Canis lupus familiaris: one gene and its partners. The protein of the gene in region 3 interacts with the protein of the main gene of each other region in a pairwise test. Links are inferred from orthologs where the notes say so. Each region holds a gene or a part of one and is shown on either strand. Other genes may lie near its edges. The genes, in order: MPPED1, MYT1L, DISC1, CEP57L1, DPYSL3, PPP4R1 and DNAJC7.

Region 1 (4,584 bases), on a different chromosome or scaffold from region 3:
AAGGGAGGGCTGGTGGGATTGGAAGTGGTGAGGAAGCTGGCTTTAGAGGATGAGTGTCACAGGAATTTCTCTGCTCTCTCCACAGGGACCAAGACCAACAATTCTCCACTGTCCCAGACCACATGTCCTCCAGGGTCTCCTGAGGCCACTACCAAGCTGTGGCTCTGTCTTTGGCAGGCAGCAGGTGGATGGACCACTTTCCTTGGAGATGATGTGCTGGTGAAGCCTGCAGCCCTAGGGTGAGAAAGATGCTCCCTGCTGGTTCAGGAGGCTGCTTTATGCTCCACGGGGTTGGGCAGCCCCGCTGGAGGAGCTGGGTGGCTCTGCGTGCCACGAGGGGTTTGAGGTCAGTGGATCTCATCCTCCATTTGCTCGGTAGGTACCAGTCTGGCGCGCTGGTCACAAGACACCACAGGGCATTTTGTTTGAATGAGCTCAGGGGCCCCGTGGCCTGCTGAGCGTGGCCCTCAAGGCCCTTCCCGACCTGTCTTAGGGCCTGCTTGCATCCTTAGGGAGTCTACACCCTCCTGCCCTCCCTGCACATCTCCTCCTGGGCATCTGCAATTCTACCGTTGGGAATGCCCATCAGGCCATCTCCCCAGTCCTTCTTCCAGGCTCAGCCTCAGGCCCTCTTCCGGGAAGCCCTGCTCCGTCTCCCAGGGTGGGCATCTCTCCCTCCCCCAGCCCACACTCGGTTCCAGGCGGGTCTCTAGGCACATCTCCCCTCTGGCTTTTCACTGGCCATGGCTGGATGGCAGGGGCTGCATCTGGGTGCCCCCTGTATCCCTGGCCACCTCCAGGTTCCCAGGACGACACAGGTGTCCACTGGATGTTGCAGCCCCCTGAGCAGTGGGGCTGACAGCAGACGTGGGCCACTGAGCAAGCCTTGCCCTCGGCAGCAGGCCTGTGTGTTTATCTGACTGCTCCCACACTCTTCTCTTCTTGACTTGGGGAGAGCCTTCCCTGGGGCCCTGACCTTCACTAGGCAGGCACACCGAAGCTGGGCATCTGCAAAGGTCAGCGTGGACCCGAGAGATAGAGCGAGTGATCGTGGGGGGTGGGGGTCCTGCCTGGGGGCGTGAGGGCACTGGGGAACCCGCTTTCCAGAACGGACCCTGCGGGGAGACCGAGTGGCGGCTCCCGGCTCTTGAGGAGAAGTCTAGGGGCTGCCGGCCGGGTGTTCCAGCTGCCCTGCCCGCATGCCTGGCTGAGTTTGTTCTTCTAGCCTGGCCTCTGCCCCCTACCCCCAGGATGGCCCCAGGCCGCAGTGGAGAATTCAGGTCCACAGACAAGGAAGAGGAGGCAGATGCTCACCTGAGGTCCCCTCAGCCATTCTCTGTCCCCCTTGCTGGCCTCAGGGCCCCAGCAGGGCTTCCTTCATCTCCCAGAGTGGCCCCTCCTGCTCCTCTGCCCGGGCAAATGAGAAACCTGACCGAGGCATGCCCCTGCTCAAAACCTGCTGTGGCTCCCCACTGTCCCTGATAAAGTCCACCCCCTTAGGCAGGCATCCAAGGCTCTTCCTGATGGGGCTCCTGTTCCTCCCCTCCCCCACCCTCCTTCCCCTCTCCCCCCACTTCCTCTCTCCAGTCCCATTGAAGCTGCCATTCCAAACATGCCAAGGCCTTTGCATGCACTGTTCCCTCTGCCTGGAATGCCTTTTCCATACCTTCTCTCCTTGGCATACACTTTTTCAGCTGGGGTGTGTCCACCTCCAAGAAGCCACACCAGGTAGCGGTCCCTGCTCCTGCTCCTGCTCCTGCTCCGGCACTGGTGCAGGGGATTCTCCTGGGTCCCTGTCTGCCTCCCTCCTGGACTGGGCTGTCCCCGAGGGCAGGCCAGGCCCCAGGCGCCCACACAGGGTGTCCTCATATTGAGTCTGAAGCCTGGAAGAATGCAGGAGTGGGAGCCACCGTGTGATGTGAGTGTGTTGGGGGAGGGGACCCATAAACATTGTTGGGGTGCCTTAGATGGGCCTCTGAGGGGCCACACCCCCCTTCTCACCTCCCTCTCTGTCTGGGAGGTCCAGGCCTGAGCCGTGCCCTGGCTACAGGCCCTGTGGACGCGGCCCTCCACCCGTGGCAGGGCCTGGAGGTCACGGGGGCCTCTCAAACTCCCCAGGGTGGGACCACCGCCTGCGGGGGGTGTCGCTCTCCCCTCTCCCCGACAAGGCAGGACCTTCGAGCCGGGGGCTAGGTGCTCCGTGGCCTTGACCCGCTTACCTGCCCCGCTCCGGGTCAAGCCTCCGCCGGCCACCGTCTGTACCCTGGGACTGGGGACCTGGGACCCCGGGGAGCAAGAGATGGGGGCGCAGGCGGCGGAGCGGGGCCTCCGCAGCCTGCGAGCCGGGGGGAGGATGGGGGGTGGGGGTCCGGGGCCGGCTGCCCCCGCGGCCTCGGGAGGGGGTCCGGGCCGGAGGCGGGGGCCGCGGCGCCCCGGAAGGAGCCGCGCGCGCCCCAGCAGCCGAGCCCGGCGCGGCGGCCGCGGATCCGGAGGTGAGAGCGCCCCCGCCCCGCTCCCCGCCCACCCCGCGCGCGGCCGGGCCGGGGCCGGGGCCGGGGCCGGGGCCGGGGCCGGGGCCGGGCCGGGGCCGGGGGGCGGGCCGGAGGGGGCGCGGGGCGCGGCGGGGCGGCCGCCGGCTCTCCTCCGCAGCGCGGGCCCGCTCCCCCGCCCGGCCGCCCGCCCCGCCGCCCCCCGGTGCCCGCCCCGCTGCTCCCCGGTGCCCGCGGCGGCGGGATGCGGGGCCCGGGCCGGGCGGGGGCCGAGGGCCGAGGCCTGGCGGGCGCGGCGGGGGCCCCGGCGGGCGGGGCGCGCGGGGCGGGGGAGGCGGGAGCGAGCGGGGGGGCAGGGCGGCGGCGGGAGGGGCGCCGGGGCGGCTCGGAGCGGCGCGGCGGGCGAGGGAGGGGGCGGCGGGGAGCCCCCCGCCCCCCGCCCCCCGAAGGAGGAGTCTGGCTCCCACTTGCTGCCTCGGACGCGCGGCGCGGCGGCCGCCGCCGGAGGAGCCCCCGCCCCTGCGCGCCTCCCTCCCCGCAGCCGGGCCCCTGCCTCCCTCCGTGCGCGCTGCTGCTCGCGGCCGCCGCGGCCGCCGAAGAGGAGCCCGGGGCCAGGTAGGGCGGGGGCGGGGGCGGGGGCGGGGGCCGGGGCCGGGGCCGGGGCCGGGGCCGGGGCCGGGGGCGGGGCGGGGGCGGGCGCGGCCGGGACCCTCTGGGGCGCGGGGTGACGCCCGCGGCGCGGCGCAGGGGCGCCCGCAAAGTTACTTTGGCCGCCCGTGGCGGGTGCGGGCGCCGGGCCGTGTCCCCCCGCCGCCGGCCGGCCGAGCCGGGGAGCCGGGAGGGGCCGCGGCCGGGGCGCTGGGCTCGGACCGGGGCGAGGGGCGGCGAAACTTTTCCCCGGCTCGCCGGTCTCTGCTGGCTGCCGGCGGAGTTGCGGGAGGAAGGAGCGGACCGGCGGGGCGCAAGTGATGATGAGGGTCCTAACAATAGCAGCCCCCGGTCGCTGAGAGCCTACTGTGCGCCGCGGAGCCCCTGCCGGCACTTGGGGGCGACGGAGGGGGTCACTAATGCGGGGCTAGTGGCCACTTTGGCCGGGCGTTGCTGGAAACTTCATCCACGCATGCATCCACGCGTCCATGCGTCCATGCGTCCACACATGCATGCATCCATCCCTCCGCTCTCTCGTTGCACACACATTTGTTACTATCTGCTCTGTGCCTGGTCCAGAGGATTCAGCGGCTAACCAGGCAGGTCCCAGCCCTCACAGGTAATATTTCCATGCTAAGGAGCAGTTCTGTCTCTTGTGTGTTTATTCTGGGACTTGTTATAGGACAGTGAATTCACTCACAGCCTCCCCTGGTCCAGGTGGAGACAGAGGAGGGTCAGTCTGAGAGCTGATGTGTCCAGGCGTCTGTGGCGGACCACGGCTGGGGGGTCCTAGACCCACCATCTCCCATTCCCTTACATCCTCTCTCCACTCAGGCCGGATGGCCAGAGGCTCCCATGCGGGACCTGGCCCCCAAGTCTGTCCCACTGACCTCCGGGAGATGCGTTTCCCCCCACGCTGGGTCAGACCTCTCCCAGTTCCCCTCCAGTAGCTTGGTTGCCTTCCCTTCCCATCTCCAAAGTCCCTGTTGACCCGCCCAGAGGAGAGCTTGTTCAGTGCCAAACAATTATGAAATTAAACTGGGGAACAAAAGTGGGCGGGCTGGTGGATGTTTGAGCCGGTTGGAGAGGACTTGCATGGTGGGGGGAGACTTGTTAGTGGGGACCAGCCACACGGGGAGCCTCAGTACCCTGGCTGGTCTTTGCAAAAATAAATAAATAAGTAAATAAATAAATAAATACACCAACTTCATGAATAATTAGTCACATTGGCTAAAATGCTCTGGGGGATGTCATTGAGGCCACCAGCCGACTGCCATAGCCAAGTTGGAAGTCGGGCTTGGTCCATGGGAGCCAAGGCACTGGGAGACCATTTGGGGAGGGGGTGGCGGATTTGGCTGGGCTGAAGCAGGCTTCTGGCGGTGGAGAGCACACCGGGGCTTGAAAGCCAGCCGGTGGTGATTGGGAGGCATTCTGGAGCTGGGCACGG
Region 2 (3,811 bases), on a different chromosome or scaffold from region 3:
GGTAAAATGTCATATCATGTATATTTTTAGTAAGGAGGGCATTAATTTCCTTGGCCCACTCTGGTGTCTCTGCTTGGTTTTATTTAATCGGTTCTGAACGTACCTACGGATATCCTGAGAAAAGACCTGGGAACGGAGTGGAACACACGTACGGAATGGGAGAGCTTGGCTCAGAGGAAGGAATCTACAGAAACAGGTAGAGTCAGGGGTCAATGCTTCTGACTCATCGGGAAGATCCATACCCCAACCCTTCCCCCGTTTCAGGGAAAAGCACATCTCAGGTTTTACTGTTTGTTCCCACCTCAGCCCCATCTGTTGAAGGGAAGCAAGCAGTTTGAATTCCATTTCTTGCAAAAAAAAATAAAAAATAAAAAAATAAAATAACAATGACAAAGCAAAATGAGTAAGGGTCTACAGAAAGCTGCTGGGTTTAAGGGAACCACAGAAGCCAAAGAAGCCAGGGCGACATGGAATCTGCGATGCCCCGTGAGCCCACACGTTCCCGAGGTTCGTTGCCGCATCCCTTGCTGCCAGCTCCACCATGAAACCCGCTCTACCGACTTCTGACACGTGAGGCCTCAGTCCAACTGAGCCGCCCCGTGAGAAAGGACACTACTTTCTTCCTACAAGTGTCTGGTTCCTATGAGTCTCAAACATCCAGCTCAAACGTCCTGGTGGGTTGCACTATGGTTGTGCGCACACATGCTGCTTCACGGTCTTACTGCACCCAGAGCAAGCTGACGCTCCGCTGGGCTAGCGCCTGTCCCCTTTCCTCAGATGCCGCACCCCCTGGAAGGTCCCCCTTCGCCTCCCGAACTGAAACGGTGGTCAGCGCTCAAGCACCTGCCGCGTCGAGAACCCGACGGGCCTCTGGCTAAGGTTTGTCTCCAGCTGGGCTTCGGTTAGAGCGATGCCACAGGAGCGATGCACATGTACATTGAGAGGAGACTACACACCTAGGTCACAACGGGAGAAACTGGTTCTCTGATCATTTGAGGTTTCCATAGCAACTGATTTTCAAGCCAAATTCCTGAACCTCAGCATCAGATCCACAGTGAGGAAACCCAGTCTTTGCAAGGAATAGAACACAAGGTAAGACAGAGGATGTGCTTTGTTACTAACGTGGAAGGGTTTAAGGAATTACCAGCTTCCTTTTTGAAATGGCTTCTGACTTTAGGTCTTGTAACCGAGATGCCCACAGTCTCGAGGCTCCTCGTGGGGTTAAGTCATAACCAGCTCGTATCACAAGTGGACACGGTTCTTATTGCAAACACAGGGCCAGTCATCCATTCATGTCTAAACACTCCGTAGATGCACTGACTCTGTGTTTGCTTTATGTAGGAAGATGCGTGAAAATATGGGCCTGTAGAGCTCATAAATGAAAATCTGCTGAAACTATCGTGTTGGGTGGTTTTTGAGTATTTCGCCATAAAGTAGGCGCCATAACCGTTTCCACAGAATGGAATGGAATCAGTGAGCGGGAATGAACATCCTGAAGGAATAACTATCGATCTCAGCTCAGGACACACCACGCCTTGCATAGCAAACGGCTCCCATTACTCACTATCTTAAGATAATTAATGTGCAGTCACTGCCCTTCTCTTACGTTATAGGTCATTCTGTTTCTGTTCGATTTCTATGAGGGCATGTTTTCTATGGGGGGGGGAGGTGTTTCATCAATAAGTGTCACTTGGTTGATAATTTTATAAATCATGATGCCACCTACCCGTTCCGATACATAAAATACATGTCTCATCCCTGATTGGCTACTCGTTGCATGAGCCCTCGCCACTCCACATAGACTCTGCTTCGTGTGTAAGAACGCAGGCTCACGCTAACGTTTCCTATCACGCGCTGTGTTTGCGCGCTAGCCCTGTCTTTCCAAGGCAAGCCTCTCCCGCTGAAACGTGTCACTCATCTGCTCTGATGGGACATTGGGCTGCTTTGTGCATCTCCCAGACAAATATTTTATTCGCTCTTCAGAAACACAATCACAAAATGTAATTCTGTAATCAGCTCTAAAGAGATGGGCATCAGTGATAAGACTTAGCGTGATGCACACTTCCTTTGTGGAGCATCATTGGCATCTTTCACCCTAGCTCCTGTTTTCATGAGGCAACTTACGTTAGGTAGAAATATTACCTTTACCATAGTATGGCTTTTTGACATGGCTGTCACTGGACTTAGGCTTCCTCTCCTCCCCGGGAAGCTGTCTTGGCGACTGCTCCTCGTACGACCGCACATTGTCCCGCCTTCCGGCCTCCATCGCCATCTTGTCCCTCATGGCCTTCGCTCTCTCTGTTTCCAAAGCAATGGCTTTCTCCAAGAGGGTCAGGTTTCCCTTGGTCATGTCAAACACCTCCTCAGACCTGTCCGAGTTCACGGAGGTGGTGTCGTCGTCTCGTTCGTGATACCCATCCTCCTTTGCACAGCTGGAGAAAGTTCTAGACCTGGGGCTCAGCTGCTCCTCGAGCCGCATCAGGTTCATCATGTCGGAGTAATTCCTGTCCGGCGTCCTCCCCGCGAAGTCGTCCTCTTGCCGGACGTGCTGGCGGATGTTCATGTTCTGCTGCTGGCTCCTGTCCTGCGGGTTGGTCTCGCTCAGTTTCCGAGCCAGGTCGAAGCACTGGTTCCGCAGGCACTCCAGGCTGCTCAGACACACCTCCTCGTCGCTCTCCTCCACCATTTTGTCCATGAGCCCGTTGTTCATGGGCTTGCCCAGCATCACGTAGTTCATGTTCCTGCTGTCCTGCTGCGACAGGGAGTCTGCGTACGCTCTGTCGTTGAGGTTTTCCGCGAGCACCACCCCGTGTCCCTGGGCCAGCAGCTTCAGGGAGTCCACCGTCTCTCTCACCACGTCGCTGTCCAGGTCCAGGCTCAGCTCGCTCTTGCGGCCCAGCGCCTCGTTCCGATCGCTGCCGTCCTCCAGGCTCGTGGAGGTGTTGCTGTTCATCTCCGACTCCGTTCTGGCCCGGTAGGCCGCGTCCTCGGCGATCTTGCCGAGGTTCAGCAAGGACTTGGCCACCAGCTCATCGTAATTATCGTACTCCTCGTTGTTGTTGTCGTCCTTCTCCGTGTCTTGCATTATTCGAGAATTGTGACAGCTCATTTGATGGTCTTCTGCAAAGAAGATAAAAAAAAAAAGGGACAAAAAAGAAAAGAAAAGGAAAAAGTGGCTAGAACTTGAAGTTTAGTGGCAACAGCATGGAAAGCAAGTCAATGGCACGTCAAAACCCTGCTCACTGTGTACTGGAGACGAAGCCCCGCGTGTGGCGGGGCTGGAGCTGTGCCACCGAGGGCACGGATTGCGCTACAGCCGGGGGCCCGCGGGAAGCCCTTGCTAGGAACTTTCCATTTCCTTAATTATTCTTAAAATGAGCCAGTCTATGTGGTATGTGTAATTCTAAAATATGAATTTTTCATTCTAAATTTTACGAGTGACTTTTATCTTTTATTGGCTTTATTTATTTGCAGCCCAAGCAGATGCGTGATAATTACACTCATCGTATTACCAGGCTTTCTAAGAGTTCATGAACTTGACTCGTTACCGACTCTTAGACAGATGTTCGCAGCAATTGCTTTTAAATTGTTTGTTTTCACAGTGATGCTCAGGAACCACAGTGGAAGGCCTCGGGCTCTGGCAGTGGCGCCGCCACCTACGCTGGGCGTTGGGTGTCAGGAGCGCACGTGTGGACTGAATGACGCTATTTCGAATGTTCTATCTTATAGACAGTGTGTCACGGTCCACGGAGAGGCAACAGGAATGTGCGGCCAAAGTTTAGAAACTACATCTAATTAACGGTGGTTCCCA
Region 3 (3,811 bases):
TGGCTGAGCCAGCAGGAGTAAGGCATTGGGGCAGGCTGGAGCAGGTTGGGAAAGGTCTCAATTATCAGGATAAGGAACTTGGATACCATCCCGAGAAGAGCAATGAGCCACCAAAGGTTTCAAGCCAAGGAATAACACTATCCCACCAGTGTTCCGGAAGATAACTCTGCTGGCCATCCGGAGAATGAACTGGAAAAGAGACACTGAGAAAGGCAAATATGTCAAGAATCTCTTACAAAACCCACGTTAAAAATAACAAGGACTTGAACCAGGGCAGAGGCTGCGGCTGTGAGAGGGAGGTTAGCTGCAGGACTATGAGGATGAGAGAGGTGTTGAAGATGCTTGCAATTTCTCTAAAAAACTGAACGGATGCTCTTAATTAAAATCAACAAATATATGTACCAAGACTAGGGCCCTTTAGAACAGGTTTGCTGGGGAAGACAATGACATCAATTTTGAACACATCTAACTAGAGGGTTCTGTGCATCACCTGGGAACAGAGCCCTGTCTGCATATCCAGCCTGGCTTCACAATCTCCTTGAGATATAAATCATATGGCTGGGGTCCCCAAGGGCTGGCACAGGGCAAACAGGGACAGGGCCAGGAACATCAGGCCACACATAAAGATTTGAAAGTAAATGAGATGCAATTGCTGGAATGAACATGACCTTCACATTTTCAGGTATTTCCACCAAATGCCTGATGAGTAGCTGTTCTACTTCCTTGTGGATGTGTACAAATGTCAGCACACATACACACACATCATATGCACACAGAAGGAAAATGCAGTCACATAGCCCAATGGGTCAGCCACAAAGCATCTCAGGCTGGGTTTCTCTTCGGATTTTTTGGAGGTAGAACAACCCTGCCTATTCACAGTTGTAACCACCTCTCTGATAACAGGGTGCACAACACACTCATGATGCCAGAGTTTGCATGTATACAGCCCCCCCTAGCTTCCAAAAGCCCTTAGCTTCTCACTGCAGCCACAGAAAATCCCATGCAAGGTTACCATCTTTAAATAAGGAAACTGAGAGCCTGACCAAAGTAATGACCAGGAGCAAAGTCTCCTGGCTGCGTCAGGCAGGGCCCACTGAGCAGGATGAAATGCAAGGGCTGCAGGAAATGCAAATGAAGCTCAGCCTCACCCCCAATATGGTGCGTCAATCTCCATCTTCACACCACTCAACCACAGGCCAGCCAGCCCCAGCTCCCCTGCCTCTGCCCCCAATTCCCTGTTTCAAAGCAGAGCTGGGCAGAGCTAACCACACATCACGTAGGCCAGGAACTGCAGAGGAACCTGCTGCTCAACACAGAGCAAATCTGAGCATTCAAGTGACAGAGAAGACAAGAACAAGAACAGATTTGTGTGCAAACAGAAAGAGAAGAAACAGAACTACGGCAACATCTTTTTGCCGTCAGTTACAAAAGGAGCTGCTGCAGCTCCCAGAGGGAAGTCGGTGGTCAACCCCAGAACTACTCATTTCCTGCCTTCTGCCCAAAGCTGGCCTGAGCTCGTGACACTCGCGGGCCCCCAGAGGCTGGGAGACACCAACCTCCAGCTGCCTCCGGTCGCTCAGCAGGCAGTCCAGCAGCACAGGCTCGCACCTCCTGAGCAGCGTCTCCCAAAGGTGAGCCTCCCCCAGGCTGCTGCCCTCAGACCGCCAGGGGCCTGGGGAGCAGGAGGAGGCAGTGTCCGTGTCCAACAAAGAAAGCATGTCACACTCCGGCCTGTGGCTGCCCCCTGTGGTCTGGGCAGAGTCCGCCAGGCTGGGAATAGTCTTGAGAGTGAAGTGGGGAGAGAAGAGTCGAGGATGTTCGTGGGGCCTGTCCATGCTGGCAGCCTTCACTTCCGCCTCCTTGGGGCTCTGACAAGGGGTCTCAGCCTCTCTGGATGGCAGGCAGCCTTCAGCTTCTCCACGTTCCCCAGCAGAGCCAAGTGAGAGCCGTATGAAGCTAAAGCTTGACGTAAAGGCATCCTGAGAGCCAGCAGGGGTTGGGGGGGCCTTGGGGACACTTCCAAGGCTGTAGCTGCTGCCACTTGCCTCCTCTGGAGACAGACAGCCTTTTGTCCAGGTACCGCCTCCAGCAGCATCCCGGCCAGGACCTGGAGCCTCAGAACTGTCCATGGATGGGAGCTCCCCCTGCCACCCAGTGTCCCCAGGGCCACACGACCTGGCTGGCCTGGCAGGTGGCTTGGTGCCAGCTCTGAGCTGAATCCCAAAGAGCCCCGAGGGCCTTCTCACAGGGGTCAGAGCCAGGCCTAGGTAGCCCCCAGAGGTCGGAGCCGAGGCTGCTGTGCTCCTAGGAACAGGGCTCCCAACCGAGGGGCCTCGCCACTGGCCTCCAGAATCAAGGCCACACCGTCCGGCCCTGGACTCAGACTGGTGGGACTCCTCACCGCACGCCCCTCCCTGGGCCTGGAACGGAGCGGCCACTGCTGGGTAGAGGAACCCGATCCGGGGCCCAGCTGCACTTCTCATGTAGCCCGGCCTCCGTGCCAGCCGCCTCCTCCGAAAAGACGCTGCAGGTGGTATGCAATCCTGGCTGCCTAGGAGGAAAAGAGAAAACAGCACCATCAACACGCAAAGCTCACTGGCTCAGCTGGAACTGCATTTGGAGAGCATCTTAGGTTTAGAGGTCGCCGCTCTGTGTATCTGTCAAAGGGAGATGCTGGCTCAGTGGTCACGGGGCCAACCCGGGACGAAGATTCTGACGATCTTCTCCAAGTGTTTGCCTGGAATGCACAGAAGAAACACAGCGTCTCCGCTCTTCTGTTTAGCAGAGCAGCTGGCGTTGCTGTGAGTTATGCCAGCATGTCAACATGCCCACTGGAGTTACAACCTCGCCGGCTCCTTCTGAACCCTCTGGCATCTTGCCTATTGGGCTCTTAGGCACCGCAGCACTTTTATCCCAGAGTGGGCCTGAAAGCAAACAATTGGGAGGCAAATGCCAGCACACTCCTCAAAACAAGATCCGATCGCTTATTCTAGCTCCTTATTGAACAATATGTGAGTTTTCATTATCTGAGCTCTCCGTGTCCCAGCACGTCTCTGGACCATGGAGAGCCAGCTGGGGCACAATTTATGGCCATCAGTTCATCTCTCACAGTGGACCACGGGAGGCCCTGCTTGATGTGCTCAACAAACCAGGGACTATGTCCCCCTCGAGCTCTGCAAAAGGAATAGAAACAATAAAAAATGCTGATAGCTCTCAGGCAGGATTGTATAGCAGTTGAGAGCAGACTCTGGCACCTCATTGCCTGGCTTAAGCCCTGGCTGTGCCATTGCTGCCTGTTCACCTCCACAAATTACTTAACCTCTCTGTGCCTCAGCTTGCTTCTCAGTAAAATGGAGACATTACCAGTACCTCTCTCGCAGGGTGAGACTTAACTAAATGAGTCACTAGAGGTAGACAGCCTACAACAGGGCCTAGCACACATAAGTGTGCTGAAGATGTTAGTTATTATTTCTCTATTGCACAGCACATTGGTACTCAGAATATGGGCATCATCTACATTAATTTCATTTGCTCCCTACCAAAGTTATGCGAATCAACCAGACTAGGAAGTATAACTTCCTTAAAGGAACTTCCTGTTCCTTCTACAGTTAAGGAAACTGAGGCTCAGAGAAATTGGCATTCAGAAACCCCTGCAAGTGACTGAGTGACCAGCATCACAGTCTCCTGACTCTCCTGACCCACATAGTGTTCTCACCATGGAGCCCCGCCACACCATGAATCAGATGAGATGGAAAGCATACAAGTAAGACCAGGCAGTGCTGAACGTGGCTGTAGGTATACTACAGCCCAT
Region 4 (3,811 bases), on a different chromosome or scaffold from region 3:
TATGTAGAGTTACCTAGTTAAATCTATGGTAAATATAAAAGGCTCTTATGATTTGGGGTTAGATAAATTTAGAAATATCTTAGACTTAGGGTTTTTTTTTTTTTAGACTTAGGGTCTTAAAGAACCTAAATTTTCAATGTTCATAGCTAAACGTAATAAAATATTCTGATGTAATAATAGCTAAAAGCATTAAAGGACTCTCTTTAGTTCCAACTTTGGAATTCTTAATATAGTGTGTTTGGGAAGAACGGCAGCTATAAAAATATTTGCCTGAGAAGTCTCTAGATTTGGTGATAGTCCACAGAAAGGAATACTGTCAGGAGAACCAGTTATACCTTCTACAGAGGTCTTAGTTCAACTAGTTGGCTACCCAAATCTCATATTTTCCGGAATTTTTATTGAATATATACTTAAACTTGGGGCTTAAAATATGTATACCACTCAGAATCTTATTTACTATGGATGCTTCAAGACTTATCATTCAGATCAGTCAGAGTTGAAAACAAGGAATTGCTTTCCTACTTGTCTAATGAAATTTCACTTAATTAAAAGGATTATAAAAAAACAAAGGAGAATCTTGCTTTTAAAAGCATTTGTGAAAAAAAAAAATAAAAAAATAAAATAAAAGCATTTGTGAGTTATAATTTAAAGTCACCAGACCGTATTTGTTAGAATAACAGTAGTATTTGCCTATCAGTTCAGATCTTGGGAACACAGAAACTCCTTAGATCAAAAAAATAGTAATTACATATTTAACTAGAAAAGTTAAATACTAACAATAAATACAATGAAAAATTAGTGTCAACTCTGAAGATCAAAATAAATCCAAATCTAAGCAAGGCCTTTAAGAATTCATAAGTGGCATTGTTCTTAAGACAGAGAAGAGAAAAGATACTATATGGCTTGCTACTTCTGAAAAACAATAAAAATACTTACATATTCATTTGGTCCAGCTCATCCTGCATTGCCATCAAAAGTTCAGACAAATTGTCACCAATAGAAATGGAATGTTTTGAGTCAGAAGGTTCAGCTTTACCCTGGGAAGTTGTTCTAGTAGGCTTGTAGAGACATCGAGGCTCAGTAAGTTTCTGATGGGTATGTGGCCCATAATGTTGTGTTACCTGCAGGAGGCTTTGCACACTTGTATTCACAGAATGGCTGGCACTGGAAGACTTTAGGGGAAAAGAAATAGCTAGGAACAATTTCAAATGACTCATGGCATTTAAATAGCACTTACAACAAAGGAGTGTGTCTGAACAAGTATCTTCATTTTCCCCCCTCTCACCTTTTTAGCCACAATTGGCAGTGATCCAGACTTTGAATAAATTTGCTGAGGTAGTCGTTCCTTTAAACATCTAGTTTTCTAAATATTGACAAAGGAAAAAAGTAAACAAAAAATTGTTTTAAAAGACTTTTATGATATGAAGAAGTCTCAAAACTCAACAGTAAACATTCTAATAGAAAATAAGCAAAAATATGGATAGACATTTCACTGACGAGGTCATATGGATGGCAATAAACACACAGAAAGATCTGCAAAATCATAGGCCATTAGTAAAATGCAAGTTACAATGATATAGCACTATACAGCTACCAGAATGACCAAAATAAAGAATAGTGACCACGCCAAATGTTGGCAAAGATGTGGAAAAGCCAGACTGCTTATGCATTATTTGTAGGAATACAAAATTATATAGCAACTTTGGAAAATAATTTGAAAGTTTCTTACACTACATTATTGAATTATTGAACACTATATCTGAAACTAATGATGTACTATGTATTGGCTAATTGAATTTAAATAAAAGAAATAAAAAAAAAATAAAGTTTCTTGCAAAACTAAACACGTACTTATCATATGATCCAGCAATTACACTCCTGGACATTTATTCCAGAAAAATGAAAACCTAGGTTTATGCAAAAACCTATACATAAGTGTTCATCACAGCTTTATTTGTAATAGTTAAAAAGTGCAAACAATCCAAATGTCCTTCAATAGGATCCAGTAAATATCAATACATTCTTTCTATTTCTGTGTAGTATTTCACATTATGGATATACTACAGTTTAATCACTGACAGCAAAGCCATCTGGACCAAATAAGTACATAAGTATTTTAATTTTTTTTTAAAGATTGTTATTTATTTATTTATGAGAGACACAGAGAGAGAGGCAGAGACACAGGTAGAGGGAGAAGCAGGCTCCACGCAGGGAGCCCGATGTGGGACTCGATCCTGGGCCTCCAGGATCACACCTCGAGCTGAATGAAGGTGGCGCCAAACCGCTGAGCCACTGGGACTGCCCAGTATTTTCATTTTTTATTAGAAGTAGCAAGATATACAGGTATCTTTTTTCTTCTCTGTCTTAAGAAAAATGCCACTTATGAATTCTTAAAGATTCTTAAAGGCCTTGCTTAGATTTGGATTTAGTTTGATCTTCAGAGTTGTCATTGATTTTTCATTGTATTTATTGATAGTATTTAACTTTTCTTTTTTTTTTTTTTTTAAAGATTTTATTTATTTGTTCATGAGAGACCAGAGAGAGAGAGAGAGAGGCAGAGACACAGGCAGAGGGAGAAGCAGGCTCCATGCAGGGAACCTGATGTGGGACTTGATCCCGGGTCTCCAGGATCACACCCTGGGCTGAAGGCAGGCACTAAACCGCTGAGCCACCCAGGCTGCCCAGTATTTAACTTTTCAAATTAAATAGTAATTGCTACTTTTTTGATCTAAGGAGTTTCTGTGTTCCCAAGATCTGAACTGACAGACAAATGCTACTGTCATTCTAACAAATACAGTCTGGTGACCTTAAATTACATAAAATTGCTTCTAGGATCTATTGTGTTGTTATCAAATGTTGTGTCATTTAGTAACTCTTTTATAAAGTATTACAGAATTTATTTCTATGAGTTCAGTTCTAGGGGCAGCTTGAGGGAGGTCCTGATCCCTCTGTGCCTGTGTCTGGCAGAGCATGTGAGATGAAGAGACAATCCTTTCTTGTGCTTGGATAATCAAGAGTTTTGGCTCAGCCTTTGGGCACATACTGAGGTGAGGAGCCAGATAAAAAGCACAGGTTGTGGCACTGAAATGGATTAATAAGGAACTTAGTGATTTGGCCCATGACCCTCTAGCACAATGTTCTCCAAGTCCTGTTGGGGATTATATGTTTCATTAGCAAGTGACAATTATGCAACCTAATGATATCAAAGTGGTGTATTCTTTTTGACAATTCATTTTCCTACAGTCTACTCTTTCAAACCAACTAAGGTTACATTTAAAAGAAGAATTTATCAGCCAAATATTAACAGTAATGTAGCATTTGTCTTAATATTCTAAGATCATGATCTTCTGCTTTAACTATTTCTAAAATTCTTTTATCCATTTTTTCACTGTTATGTGATCCTCTAGTGCCAAAGGTTACATGGGTTTATGAAATAGACAGAGATAAGTATAATAGAGTATCTTGGGAATGGACTCAGAAATATGTCACATGATGCTACTATAAAGTCAGAATTACCTGCATTATAGCTGGAATAAAATTTAAATTACCATTCCTTCCTTTTTTTGATTTTCTTATCCAGCTGCTAGCTGCTCCCTTATCAGGCTTCATATTTTTAGATTTTATTTTTTGTTTATTTTCCTCCATTAATTTACATGCTTATCTGACAAAGACAAGTTCTTCCAGTTTTGGACAATAACTGCTTTTAGAAACTAAAAAGTATTTATAAAAGAAGAGTTGCCTAAGGTTCAGAATTTTTTAAAAAGAATGTATTTATTTATTTATATTTTATTTTATTTCTTTTGAGGGAGAC
Region 5 (4,393 bases), on a different chromosome or scaffold from region 3:
AGAATTTTTTTTAAAAACTTTATTCTTGTATTTTAAAAGGTCAGAACTAAGAATAGTTTATAGAAACTAAAAGTAGGCAGATTTGGGCTTAATTCAATTTTTTTTAAAGTGAAGTTTTCCAAAGTTGCTTCATGAGGTAGCATGCTCCCTGAAAATGTGGTATTTATTTATTTATTTTTAAATATTTTATTTTATTCAATCATGAGACACACACACAGAGAGAGAGAGAGAGAGAGAGAGGCAGAGACACAGGCAGAGGGAAAAGCAGGCTCCATGCAGGGAGCCCGACGTGGGACTCGATCCCAGGTCTCCAGGATGACACCTTGGGCCAAAGGCGGTGTTATAAACCGCTGAGCCACCCCGGCTGCATGGTATATTTAAATGTGGTATTTAAAAGAGTGGCCAGAAGGGACATCTGTCTGGCTCAGTTTCTCTTGTTTCTCTTGATCTCAGGGTCATGAGTTCAAGCCTCACGATGGGCCTAGAGTTTACCTTAAAAAAATATTTTTTTAATTCACAAAAAATAAATAAATAGAGGCTAGATAGTTATTGTGGATCTACGTAGCAAAAAAATATATGGCTTAATGAAGGAGGTTTAATGTACCAAACATTCATGGAGCACCTCCAATGTGCCAGGCATTTCTGCTACAGCGATAAACCCAAACACCCAATCCCTACCCTCAAGGAAATAGCCATTAAGTACAGAAGTAGATAAGGTCTGCTGACTCTTCTAGCAGCGTGATTCAACCAAATTAGAGATAATAACATGGCCGGCATGAAGCTGACAGTAAGCCCGAACTTACAAATAACCACGTAGCACAAGAAATCCTGCTGATGCTTAAGTTGTAGCATTATTTTTCAATTAGCAGCCAAAAGTACAGGGTTTGCAAAAGGAAGGAAAACGAGAGAATTTCTGGGTTTACAGGAGGAACATTTTCCCTTTCTCTAGTTACCATTCTTAAATCCTGCAAACCAGGCATATTATCTGGCTTACATCAGGGGTGTTCCAGCAAAGGGAATAGCACTGACTCACAGCAATTGTTACCGACCTTTTCCATCACTTCTCCCACCCCTTAGAGTCAGGAAGGGAAGGAACATTTCAATCCCCATCAGCTAAGACCTGAAGAGAGGCAATAATCTTCCTGTAACACCATTCTTAAGTTTAGAAATCAGCCACAGCTTTTCCAAAATATCAGAAGTTTCTTGTGAAAGGGTTATTTGAGCAGAGCCTAGAGGAATCCCACATTCTAAGGATGATATGAAAATCACACACTAAGAGAGTGATTCCAAGGGACGTGGACATTGTTTCCCAAGGGCACTCTTTTTCCCCTAGTGGTATTAAAGCTTTGTTTGTTTTTTCAAACTTTCGAAAACCAAGCAGTGCAGAGATATGCTTTCCTTTGAGGGGCTCGCTGCATTTGAATGGAAAACCTTGAAAATCTCGGTTAAGCATTAACTGTAATTGCTCTGAGGCAGACATTTCCATTTTGGGTTATTATTATATCAGTATTTGCACAGAATACTATCCGTGGATGGATTTTGCTGCCGTTATCTACACAAGAGTGACGTATCTGATTACTATTGTTCCCCAACTCAAAAGCATCAGTTTGAACTTTGAATACTCCAGCCCTGCCCAGAGCCTGAATTTTCTGAAAGGTGGTTCTGATTTTCTACGAAATAAACAAATAGATGAGAGCAAGCTGGATCTCAAGGCCGTATCTCCAGTCGATTCAAAGTGGCATGAGTTTCTCAAAAACACACATACAGAAGAAACTGGCTTTGGCACATGTAGGAGCGGCAGAGACTCTGCAGCTTGTGCTAAGTTTAAAGTGCACCCTTAGTACTCTGGCCCGTTTTCAAAACTAAGCGATAGTCTCCCAGGGACAGCTGGATCCCTGTGCAGCACCCAGTCTTGCAGCAGCAAGCTCCGTACACAAATGTACACGTTACCAACACAGATGTGAAATGTCCATCCAGGACAGGAGAGAGGCATTCAGACTGGGCTGTTTAGTCTAGTGGCTCCACACCCAAAAGTTTCAGGGACACAGAGGATGTTGGAAGAGTGAGAGGGGAGACCGCCCGTCCCGTGTGTTCATCCGGGGCCTATGGAGTTTGCCCTCTGCCCTGGTGACCCGGGTTGAGATTTAATCTAGGGCCAGCGTGGGGCGAAGCCCATTGTGCTGGCGGCTACCCGGGCGGAGAGGAGGGCTGGGCACCAGCAAGCCTTCCGGGCGGTGCGGGCCGACACACCCACCCAGACCCGCAGGCCCAGGGGTGGGGCGGGGGGCGCGCCCCGGTCCCGCGCGCACGGGGATGCTGCTCCCGGGGGCCCGCGCGACTCCGGGTCCCCGCTCGCAGGTCGCGCTGTACGCTCCGAGAGGATGCTCTCCTCCTCCTCCTCCTCCTCCTCCTCCTCCTCCTCCTCCTCCTCCTCCTCCTCCTCCTCCCCTCCTCCTCCTCCTGCAGGGCCCCCGCCCCCCGGGCGAAGTGAGCGGGAGAAAAGTTGTGCCGGGGTCCGGGGACGCGGGCAGGGGCGGCCGGCCCCGGGCCCCCCTACCTGGTCCTTGGGGCCGAGGTTCTGCAGCACCTCCTTGCCCGTGGCGCTCCGGATCTCCACCCCGGCGGGCGCGGCGGGCGCGGCGGGCGCGGGCTCCCTGGCGTCCTCGCGGCCCTGGCCCTGGCCCTGGCCCTGGCCCTGGCCCTGGCCCCGGCGCGGGCTGTCGGCCTCGAGCCCCGGCCGGCTCCCCGCGCCCCGGCCGCCGCCCTGGCTGCTCCGGGGGGTCTTCGCGCCCCGCTGCCCCACGCTCAGCGCATCGAAATCCAGCGTCTTGCTCTCGAAGGCGCCCTCCACGCTGCAGAACATGCCGCCGTACTTCTGCCGCGGGACCTGGTCCGTGGTGCCGGGCCGGGCCAGGTACACGGGCAGATCGTCCTCGTGGGCGCTGTCCCAGCCCCTCCGGCCCGAGGCCATGGCTCGGCGCGCGGCGGCCCCGCGGCTCGGCTCCCCCGCAGGCGGAAAGGGCAGCCGCCGGCAGCGTGCGCCGAGCCACAGTGACTGGGGCGGGGGGAGGCGCCTGAGCGTTCGCGCCAGAGGCGGCAGTGCAGCTCCGGTTCCTGCCGGGCCGCCGCCAGCCAGCGCGCGCTCCGCCGGGGACCTGCCGCCGCCCGCCCCGCCGCCCCCCGCCGCCCGCGCCGCCCGCGCCGCCCCCGCCGCGCCCCCGACCCCGGCGCCGCCCCCGGGTCGCCGCCCGGCCGCCCTGCCCCAGCGCCAGCCCCGGCTCCCGAGGACCCCGGGCCGCACGCGCACACGCGCACTAACCCTCGCCCCCTCGCGGACTTGCGAGGTCGCCTCCCCCGCGCAGGCCTGTCCGCCCCCTGGGACCCGCCGCTCCAGGTGGCTCGGCCGGTGCGCCTCGAAGCCGCACTCGTGTGCAGCAACACCTCTCGCACGCGCGCACACGCACACGCACACGCACAGGGGTTAGCCGACTTAGTCCCGCACTTTGCTTACGCGTAATCCCGGGCTTGCCGCCTCCTCCTCGTAGAGCGGCCTCACGGTGGTGCCTCGCACACCCGCACCCTCAAACCAAGACCTGCCGAACCTGTTGAAAGACACCCTCTTACTTCGCTGACAGTGACAAAAGCCCGTCCCCGACTCACAGGCAGATCGACGCTTCAGCTATTCTTACCTCGTGTTTGGGACCCCAGATGGTGCTTTCTGCCCCAGAATTTGCCTCACAATTAGTTTGCCTGTCACAGACACGCACACACGTCCCTAGATTGTAAGACACCACCGATACCCCATCGTACAACAAACCCGAGGCTAATACCTCGCACACTCCCTCGAGCTCAGCTTTGCCTCAGTCAGAACCCTCCACGGGGGCTCACACATAAGCTAGGATTTAGCTCAAAAATACACACGCTTCGGCCCGCCGAGTTCCCTCAGTTCCACACACAAGTTACTTACGCGGATGCCTGCTCTCACAGCTCACTCTCCTCCCGGTGTCCACCCACATACACCCTAAACCACGCTTTGCCAGTAAACACGGAGCTGGCGACCGGCAGAGCTGGCACGGCCTCCGCACACACAGCCGACGTCCGGAACCCCCGGTGCCCACATTAGACTAGGCCTCCTCTCGGAAATTCACTCATTAAATTCCTTAATTTATTCTTTTTAAGGAGTTTTATGTATTTATTCATGAGAGACACAGAGAGAGGCAGGCTCCATGCAGGGAGCCCGACGTAGGACTCGATCCCAGGACCCCAAGATCACCCCTGGGCCCAAGGCAGGCGCTCAAACGCTCAGCCACCCAGGCGACTCCTTAATTTATTCATCCAACGTGAACTGAATGCCTACTATGCTCTTCACGAGATACTGGAGTGACAGTGTTAA
Region 6 (4,413 bases), on a different chromosome or scaffold from region 3:
CCCCTTCTAGCCTCCACAGCTGCAGATCACCTGTACATTTTCTCTCTTCTTAGTCTAGGTTCTGCTTTTAGGAAAGACAACCAAGATTCTAGAGTTCGGCAAGAACGTAATTTCTTCCCATCACGAGCACCGACTTAGACCTAGTTGGGCTGAAGCAGCAGGACCTGGTATACAGTACCCTGGAGGCGGGCCTCCATCCCAGGGTTTGCCTGAGACAGAAAATCAAGTTCATACGATACTTTCTAGTTGTAAGGGCAGCCCAAGCTTCATTCTCTCTAACATCTCTGGTCCTCTCTACCTTCTCCAGCTTCTCCAGGAGGTGACAAGCTTTCTCATTTTCTCTCCATTTCTCTTACCCTTGGCCTAGGCATCAAAGCCAGATTTCCTCCTCATTCTTTCTCCCTTCACAACAGACAGCAAGTGGTCCTTCAACTGGCCACATGTTCAAAGATCCTTTGTTCCCAAATATTCCAGGTAAAGGTAGCACCTGTAAAGACCTTAGCAACTGAAAAAAATATGCAATTATTCTAACGAAGTCTTAAATCAATTCATAAATATGCAAATAAACTATGCCTTCAGATGTGTAATGTTTTATCCTAAATTAAAACACACTAGGAACTAACAGAACCTTTAATAAGTTAATTGCAAGCATTAGCAACGTCTATAATTATATTAATTCTGTACTGTAATGTTCAACATCAGTATTTCCTCTTCTAAGCTTCCCTTCTTCACTCATAACCACCACCACTTAACAGTATTTACCAAGTACTCAGCGCTTTACGTATCTTAATTTATGTAAGGCTCTAAACAACTCTAAATAGGCAATACTTAGTATGCTTACTTACAAACGATGAAACGTGAGCATACAGAGGTTTAGGGAGTTGCAGGGGTCTGTCCAAAATGATAATAACAAAACTGGAACACAAGAGTCTGGCTCTAGAGTGTTGTCTGTTAACTACTGTTATGCTGCCTCTCATATCTTCTTCATCACACTTATATTAAAACTGCTAATAAACCACTAGAGGGCATAGATTGTGGCCGTCCTTTGCAGAGCTATATCCTCAGTACACAGAAGTCTTGCAGCTCATGAATAAATCATTGTTGAGTTCTTCACAGGTGTGCTTTCCCTTCTAGACTAGGCTTCTATAGACTCAATGAGGAAACGGGACACTAGCTCATCCTTTAAGAGTGCATGTCACAAGAAATGAAAATAAAGGAAGGGGCAAAAGTTCTTGCTGCGTGCATTCCTAAACCCCTGCTGACTGCTGTGTCTTCTATTTATAAAGTCTTGAAGCTAATCACAGAAATGAGAAGCCCCTGTTTGAGATAACGATGGGAGCCACCTTACCAACCTTAACTTTGCAAGCAATCACCAGCTGCCTTGAATGGCCTTTTCAACTCACTAGCAGGCAGACAGGTGGCCTAACATAAAGCATTAGGTGAAGTGTAGAAGCTGTCCCTCACTATGTTAGTACTGCTCCCTGTGTGAGAGAGCTTTGTACTTCACAAAAAACACCAAAAACACCAACCCAGAGTTAGCGAAAGTTAATTCTGCATATGGTTCGTTTGCTTTAAAAATACTCCTTTTAGAGAACCCTTCTGAATGGTAAATTCCCCTTACCTCACTCAAAACCTAGGAATTCGAAAATGAAGCTTAATTCGGCCAAGGGAAACCACATTACACAGCGCTAAGGCTGAACCACACAGAATTTAGAAGAGCAATTTCAGAATGCAACCATCCCTGAATTACTTACCCAGGTATTAGCCACAGTAAATCTCAGCAACGGGCAGGCTTTCCCCCTAAATACGCCACAAATTCTACCGTGGTTATCATTTCCACGCAGAACAATTTCCAAATTATCTTCGGATGCTTAGGCACACACGAAATAAACAAATTCCTTTCTAAATACCAGTTCCTTCCTGACAGTCTTCTGCAGACAACGTCAAAGTTCTTTTTTCCTCCCCTTTCCTTTTTGTTTTTTTTTTTTTTTGTCTTGTTTTGTTTTTTCAAACAAAAGATCGCCTGTTTTAAAACTTCCCTTTCTCACGGAAAAGCTGAAATCGTCCTATTTTGGGAGGTCTGGGTGCCCCGCGAACATCTGCAATAGAGCAGTAAGCTCCCCAGCGCTAGGAACTCCAGCTAAGGCCACACCTTCCAGCCTTCCCGGAATCCACGAATCACAGGGGGGGTCCGGCATCCCAACACCGCCCCGAGCTCCGGGGACTCCCGGGTGCGCCGCCCGGGCCGGCTCCCTGCGGCCGGCCGCCCGCTGACACTCGCCGGCGACTCCGCAAGGCGAAGCCCGGGCGCGGCGGCTGGGGTCCGCGGAGGCCCGCCGGGCGCCAGCGCACACGTCGGCCCGCGCCCCCGAGCTCCCCGGGCCCACACGCCGCGAGTGCCGCCGCCCGCGGGCCCAGCGCGGGTCCCTCCTGCGGCTCGCGGCCCCGCCGGCCCAGGGCCACGCCTCGCCGAGCGCCGAGCCCCGAGCGCCGAGCCCCGAGCGCAGGCCGCCGCCGCCGCCGCCGCCCGTCCTCCCGCGCCGCTCCCCGCGGGCCGCCGGCGCACTCACATCCGTCCGCGTCCTCCTGCAGGTCCTCCTGGAGCAGCGAGAGGTCTGCGCCGAGGGGAGAGAAGAAAGGCCGGTCAGCGCCCCGGGACCCGGCGCGCCGCCCCCGCCGCCCGCCCTCCCGGCCCCGCGGCGCCTCCTCCCCGCGCCGGGACCCCGCGCCGGCCGCCAGTCGGGGGGAGGCGCCGCCGCCGCCGCAGCCGCCGCCGCCGCCGCGCCCGGAGGCCAGGGGGCCACGTACCCGCCATCTTGTGGTCGCCCCCTCCTCCTCCGTCTCCCGGGGAGCCGGGGCTACATGGAGCGGCGCGAGCGGGGAGCCGGGGCGCGCGCGCGGGCGGGGCGGCGAGCAGGAGGGCCGGGCCGGCGGGGGCGCGCGCGGGCGGGGCGGCTCCGGGGCGCGGGGGGGCGGGCGCCGCGGGCCGGCCTGGCCCCGCCCCTCGCCGCCCGACCTGGCCCCGCCCCTCCCCGCCTCGCCCGGCCTGGCCCCGCCCCTCGCCGCCCCGCCCCGCCCCGCCTCGCCCGGCCGCTCTGCGCCGCTCCCGTGCGGCTCCCGGGCGGCCGCTCCTCCGCCTCCCTCGCTCCCGGCTCGGCGGCGCGCGCTCACACCCTGGGCCCGAGGCGCCCTGACGCCGAGAGCCGCCCGGGACCCTGCGGCGTGTGCCCGGAGCGCGGCCCGGGCGGGGCCTCCCGCGGCGCGGCGCGGCGCGGCCCGCTTTGTTGGGTCACCGGCCTCGCCCACCGGCCCTGCCCGGCCCTGCCCGGCCCTGCCCTGCCCGGCCCTTCCCGGCGGGCTCGCCCCCGGGGCTGCACGCACGTCGTCGGCGATCCGAGGCCCGGCGGAGGCCGCGGGGCCCACCCTCCGGGGGCAGGAAGCGCCGCCTCCCCGCGCGCCGGGGCCCTGGCGCAGCGGCGGCGGACAAAGCGCGGGGTCCTGCCGCCAGGCGGCCGACGGACACGCTCATCCCGGCGCCGCCCGCCCCCGGGCCTGCCCGTCGAGCGCTGACCCAGCGGGAAGAGCTCCAGCGAGGGCGCGCGCGGGCCTGGGTTCGGATCCCCGTCCTGCCGTTTTCTTGGGGGGTAGCCCGTGTGCCGGTGGAGGGGGAGCCTGCGCCAGGATTACCGCGGCCGGCGACGAGCGTGAGCAACCCAGCAGGGCACTTGCTACCTGGGACGTGGTGCCCCGGGAACAGCCCTACGATTAGCTCCCCCCACCCTTTTTTAAAAAAATTATTTTTTTAAATTATTGATTAAATTTGTAATTTATAATTAAATTTAATTTTAATTAATTAAATTAAAAAAATTTTAAGTTATTAATTTAAAAATTAAATTATTTATTTATTCATGAGAGACAGAGAAAGAGAGAAAGAGGCAGAGACGCAGGCAGAGGGAGAAGCAGGCTCCTTGCAGGGAGCCCGACGTGGGACTCGATCCCGGCCCTGGGCACTAAACCGCTGAGCCACCCGGGCTGCCCGCTTTTTTTTTTTTTTTTTTTTTTTCACTTTAAATAGTTTCGCTAGCACTTCATGTGCACGACTGAAATCACTATTACAGATTTTATTATCGCCGCTTTTTTTTTTTCTTTTTTAACATGTATTAAGGGATTAGCTCAAGTGCAAAGTGGAGGCTGAACCCAAGTTTTCTGACTCCCATTCCACACGGTCCTATCTCCGAGACTCTAATCTATTCCAGCTCCACCTACGGGCCTCAAAAATGGTAATCTCCCAAAGTGGAGAACAAAACACCCAATCGTTTGAAGGATACCACATTGGCTGGCCTGGTGTCTTGGAGAGAGGAAATTCTGAATTATCAGCTTGTCCCTTTCTGCATTGCGGTCCTCACGGAGGAC
Region 7 (3,811 bases), on a different chromosome or scaffold from region 3:
TGATTTTTCCTTATTGAACACATGTAAAGGTATAATTATCTACCCCATTATCTTCCCAAAAAGTCAAGAATTTTCTCCTCACCCATTCCCTGTTCTAAAACTAGAGTGTCCCTTGAGTTGACATGGTGTCATGTACCTAGCCACCTCTGCCCCACCAGGCACTTAGGGGATTCTCTTTGTTGGCTATTACAGATAACACCACAGTAAACTTGTATATAGCATTTTGTATCTGTTAAAATGAGTCTTTAGCTGGGTCGGAGGGTATGTGTTGTCTTCCAAAGCTTCCATGTTTGCCAGTGGTTTGCAAACAAGAGGTGACTGACAGCTGGTCTCACAGAGTCTATAATACAATTCTGTGGATGTCTCTGATGGACTTACTCATCTACTTAGAATTCCACTTAAAAAAAAAAAAAAAAAAAAAACACCACACACAGTAGTAATTTTCCTACTTTTAAAAAATGTGGATAATTCTGGGCCAACTAAATGGGAGACAGGCCACACCCGCCACCACTGATGAGACAGAGGAGCTTAAGGAATGATGGGCTCGCCAGACATCAGTAACATCAGTTCTCTGACTGGACATTTTATGACAAGAAACAGGATGAGTGTTGGAGGATTAGTATACAACAAATAGGTCTTCCTTTTGGAACTTTAAAGATAGAATGTTCTTCTCTGTCTGGGAAATAATCTGAAATAAAAAGAGATAGATTTGGGGGGAGGACTCTCTTAGCCCTGACTGAGGTTCCTATCTGCAGAAAACTCTGGATGTACAAGCTGGGGAGTGTGCTGACTCTGAAGGCCAATCGGGACACTAGATCTAAGTAGGCATACCCTGGCTCATGAATCACCAAGGCCCACAGAGCTACTTCAAAAGGGACTTCCTGATACTGCTGAGAGGCTGAGCAAGATTAAATCCCTTCCAACTGAAACACGGTCTTCCCTAACCCAGAACATACAGGATAAGCACAACTCTCAACTGTCTCCAAGAGATACTTTATTTCTTCCTCTTCCAAGCACCATCCACTCATCCCACAAAAACATTTATTGAGTGAGCACCTACTGTGTGCCAAGCACTGTGCCAAGTTAGAGCAAAAGTGTACAACACAAAATACAATCTCCAGAGGAAACGGATTTAAACTTTAACAAAAGGAATTTGGGTCAGGCATCAGAGGAAACTTACTGACCGTGAGGGGCGTAAGACACAGTCATGGGAGACTGAGGGAGCTTGTGCAATCTCCTCCGCTGGGGGTCTATAAAGATAGTCTAGAGCTGGAACAATCCCACCTAGAGGCAGGGGGAAGGACCAAATGACCTCACAACATCCCCGGGTCTGCTTCAGCAGCCACAGTGCAATTCCCCTGGCAGGCCAGCGGCAACTCCCTCTTCCCCTCGCCCGCCGGAGGCACTCACCACTGAGCTCTTCTCAAGTAGGCTTTTATATAAGTGGCATCGAGCTTCACTGCACTCGTGCAGTCTTCTATTGCATCATCTAGTTTCCTAAGCTTCAGGAGAGAGAGAGCAGTCATACTTCACATCTCTGCGGACTGAGGGAGCCCGGAGGCTGTGAGCACGGCTTCAGAATTCTAAGACGATCAGTCGTGCTAGCCCCCTAACTGTCACACACTCTCGGTCACTGAGAAAGCTAGTGTCTCAGAGGGCTAAGGACGCCAGATTCGAAACCGGTTTCTCTTCTACAGGATAGAAGTCAGGCACACTTCTGTGCAGGGATAAACCACCTCTACCACTCCAGGGTAGTGCCCAAACAAGACAGGGAAATAGTGGTTCCTGCCCTCCATTCTCCCAAAGGCCAATGAGAGGGGTATGAATTACTCTGATTTCTAACTACTGGAATACTATAAGAGCAAGGGCCTGCTGTTGTTTCTTAGAGTATGCAGGACTACAGTGGAGATGCAGACTGTTTCCAGCCGAGCATGGTGACCATCAGTTATGCTGGATAAAAAAAATTAAGCCTGCCTCATACTCTAATTTCTTTCAAATTACTCCTAAGAAAGAAATAATCACTTGCTTAGGCCAAAAACAATGATAAAATTTGCCTAAAAATGATGCCAAAGCCCCTGGCATTCTCTTAGTGGAGGAAAGGGATCTTGAGGAAGAACAGGTAGGAATATCCTTCCAAACTGTCCCTCAAGTGCCCTTCAATTTCGAGGAAAAGGCAAAAAAGCTTGCCTCTCAGAAGGAAGTTTGTTAACAAGCTGAACTCTCAAACAAAAATCATCTTCTCTCCTTTCATCTGGCTGCCCTCATTAGGCAGATTCCCCAAGACCTCTTTGAGGTCCCTTAAACATATCTCCATAGACCCCAAGACCCAGACCAAGTGCTTACCTTGGAGTTAACCGTGCCCCGATTACAGTAGAGTTTAGCATTTGTTTTTATATTGTTAGGGTCTATCCCCAGGGCTTCTGTGTACAGTTCATAGGCTAGCTTGTAATTTCCTTCTTTAAATGCTTTATTCCCATCTTCTTTCTTTGCTTTAAGTGCTTTAGCATTCTACAGGGAAAAGCAAGGGGAAGTTAGTTCATATCCAGGAAACCCAGACAACTGTACAAGAGGCCCAAGTCTATTTTTGATTTCTCAGATCACAGCTGTTTAGCCTCGCACTGATCCTTACCACAACCACCCACCCCTCCGCCCGTACCCCCACCATCTGGGCTCTTTGTTGCTCACTGGTGCTTCCTACAGAGTGGACAGGAGAAACCAAGATTTGCAACAGAATATCATTGAGACTTGTTTGCCCAGGATTTACCTCCACTCCCTAGAATAAGCATTACTATTTTTTCTTCACTGAGGGAAGAAAATAAGAAAAAGCACACTTAGGTATTAGAAGGATCTGACCCTACATGATCACATTTACTTTTAAGTAAATAAACGTAGTTCTGAAATAATTTCTAATCAAAGACCAAGCATCCTGGCAAAGCGGGAAAAGGAGCTATCACATTTCATGTGATCCTAGAACCTTTCATTTTTGATTCACAGGTTCAAAAAGGAAGTTTTCTTTCCTACTCAGATCTGGGGCCTAGAACTTACTCTGCAAGCAATGCAGGCCTTCTCATGGTCAGGAGCCATTCTGAGAGCCTGTACAAAAAACTGAACCGCCTTCTCAATACAATCTTCATAATAAAGGCAAAGACCTCGTACATACAGAGCATCCGCATTGGTAGAATCCATTCGTAAAATGTCACTGCAATAGCCAGAGAGGAGAACATTCAGCCATGGTTTGGATCTCCCTACCATTACTATCATTTGTGATTACTATCACTAATTTTTCCCTTGACCATGTGTCTAGTATGGAAAGCATCCAAAGGTCAACAGATCCCAATAAGCTCTTCCCATACCTTCCCCAAATAAATGACCTATATTTATCTTTATTTATTTATTTATTTATTTATTTATTTATTTATTTATTTATTTATTTTAAAGATTTTATTTATTTATGACACACACATGCAGAGAGAGAGAGGCAGAGACACAGGCAGAGGGAGAAGCAGGCTCCATGCAGGAGCCCGACGTGGGACTTGATCCCAGGTCTCCAGGATCACGCCCTGGGCCAAAGACAGCGCTAAACCGCTGAGCCACCCGGGCTGCCCTATATTTATCTTTAATACACTTCATGTGTCTCAGTCATTATTAGAACAGAGATTGGCAAACTACAGCCCAAAGGGCTAAATCCTGCCCACCGCTGTTTCTGTAAATCAAACTGTACTGAAACCTAGCCACATCATCCATTTATCTATTATCAATGGCTGTTTCTGCACCACAGTGGCAGAGGTGAATAATTTCGATGGAGACTATA

Evidence for each region.
Region 1: the proteins of DISC1 (region 3) and MPPED1 interact in a two-hybrid assay, tested with the Homo sapiens proteins (2 studies listed by BioGRID and IntAct). The link is inferred for Canis lupus familiaris from reciprocal best matches to the Homo sapiens genes DISC1 and MPPED1.
Region 2: the proteins of DISC1 (region 3) and MYT1L interact in a two-hybrid assay, tested with the Homo sapiens proteins (2 studies listed by BioGRID and IntAct). The link is inferred for Canis lupus familiaris from reciprocal best matches to the Homo sapiens genes DISC1 and MYT1L.
Region 4: the proteins of DISC1 (region 3) and CEP57L1 interact in a two-hybrid assay, tested with the Homo sapiens proteins (2 studies listed by BioGRID and IntAct). The link is inferred for Canis lupus familiaris from reciprocal best matches to the Homo sapiens genes DISC1 and CEP57L1.
Region 5: the proteins of DISC1 (region 3) and DPYSL3 interact in a two-hybrid assay, tested with the Homo sapiens proteins (2 studies listed by BioGRID and IntAct). The link is inferred for Canis lupus familiaris from reciprocal best matches to the Homo sapiens genes DISC1 and DPYSL3.
Region 6: the proteins of DISC1 (region 3) and PPP4R1 interact in a two-hybrid assay, tested with the Homo sapiens proteins (2 studies listed by BioGRID and IntAct). The link is inferred for Canis lupus familiaris from reciprocal best matches to the Homo sapiens genes DISC1 and PPP4R1.
Region 7: the proteins of DISC1 (region 3) and DNAJC7 interact in binary tests that used the Homo sapiens proteins (3 or more experiments, as listed by UniProt). The link is inferred for Canis lupus familiaris from reciprocal best matches to the Homo sapiens genes DISC1 and DNAJC7.

What each region holds. Positions count from the first base shown.
Region 1 is NC_049231.1:23,113,157-23,117,740, reverse strand, and holds the start of MPPED1 (metallophosphoesterase domain-containing protein 1), read left to right. Parts: upstream 1-1,766; 5' UTR 1,767-1,891; coding exon 1,892-1,918; intron 1,919-2,462; exon of another isoform or gene 2,463-2,492; intron 2,493-3,042; exon of another isoform or gene 3,043-3,104; intron 3,105-3,608; exon of another isoform or gene 3,609-3,756; intron 3,757-4,584. UniProt on the Homo sapiens protein: May have metallophosphoesterase activity (in vitro).
Region 2 is NC_049238.1:1,008,094-1,011,904, forward strand, and holds part of MYT1L (myelin transcription factor 1-like protein), read right to left. Parts: intron 3,121-3,811; coding exon 2,143-3,120; intron 1-2,142. UniProt on the Homo sapiens protein: Transcription factor that plays a key role in neuronal differentiation by specifically repressing expression of non-neuronal genes during neuron differentiation.
Region 3 is NC_049225.1:8,197,714-8,201,524, forward strand, and holds part of DISC1 (disrupted in schizophrenia 1 protein), read right to left. Parts: intron 2,552-3,811; coding exon 1,557-2,551; intron 1-1,556. UniProt on the Homo sapiens protein: Involved in the regulation of multiple aspects of embryonic and adult neurogenesis. Required for neural progenitor proliferation in the ventrical/subventrical zone during embryonic brain development and in the adult dentate gyrus of the hippocampus.
Region 4 is NC_049233.1:66,473,188-66,476,998, reverse strand, and holds part of CEP57L1 (centrosomal protein CEP57L1), read right to left. Parts: intron 3,494-3,811; exon of another isoform or gene 3,073-3,493; intron 1,676-3,072; exon of another isoform or gene 1,631-1,675; intron 1,364-1,630; coding exon 1,286-1,363; intron 1,173-1,285; coding exon 937-1,172; intron 1-936. UniProt on the Homo sapiens protein: Centrosomal protein which may be required for microtubule attachment to centrosomes.
Region 5 is NC_049223.1:40,967,699-40,972,091, forward strand, and holds the start of DPYSL3 (dihydropyrimidinase-related protein 3), read right to left. Parts: upstream 2,972-4,393; coding exon 2,558-2,971; intron 1-2,557.
Region 6 is NC_049228.1:75,667,097-75,671,509, forward strand, and holds the start of PPP4R1 (serine/threonine-protein phosphatase 4 regulatory subunit 1), read right to left. Parts: upstream 2,918-4,413; 5' UTR 2,816-2,917; coding exon 2,809-2,815; intron 2,616-2,808; coding exon 2,571-2,615; intron 2,160-2,570; exon of another isoform or gene 1,755-2,159; intron 499-1,754; exon of another isoform or gene 357-498; intron 1-356. UniProt on the Homo sapiens protein: Regulatory subunit of serine/threonine-protein phosphatase 4. May play a role in regulation of cell division in renal glomeruli. The PPP4C-PPP4R1 PP4 complex may play a role in dephosphorylation and regulation of HDAC3.
Region 7 is NC_049230.1:20,751,644-20,755,454, reverse strand, and holds part of DNAJC7 (dnaJ homolog subfamily C member 7), read right to left. Parts: intron 3,200-3,811; coding exon 3,046-3,199; intron 2,509-3,045; coding exon 2,344-2,508; intron 1,503-2,343; coding exon 1,411-1,502; intron 1-1,410. UniProt on the Homo sapiens protein: Acts as a co-chaperone regulating the molecular chaperones HSP70 and HSP90 in folding of steroid receptors, such as the glucocorticoid receptor and the progesterone receptor.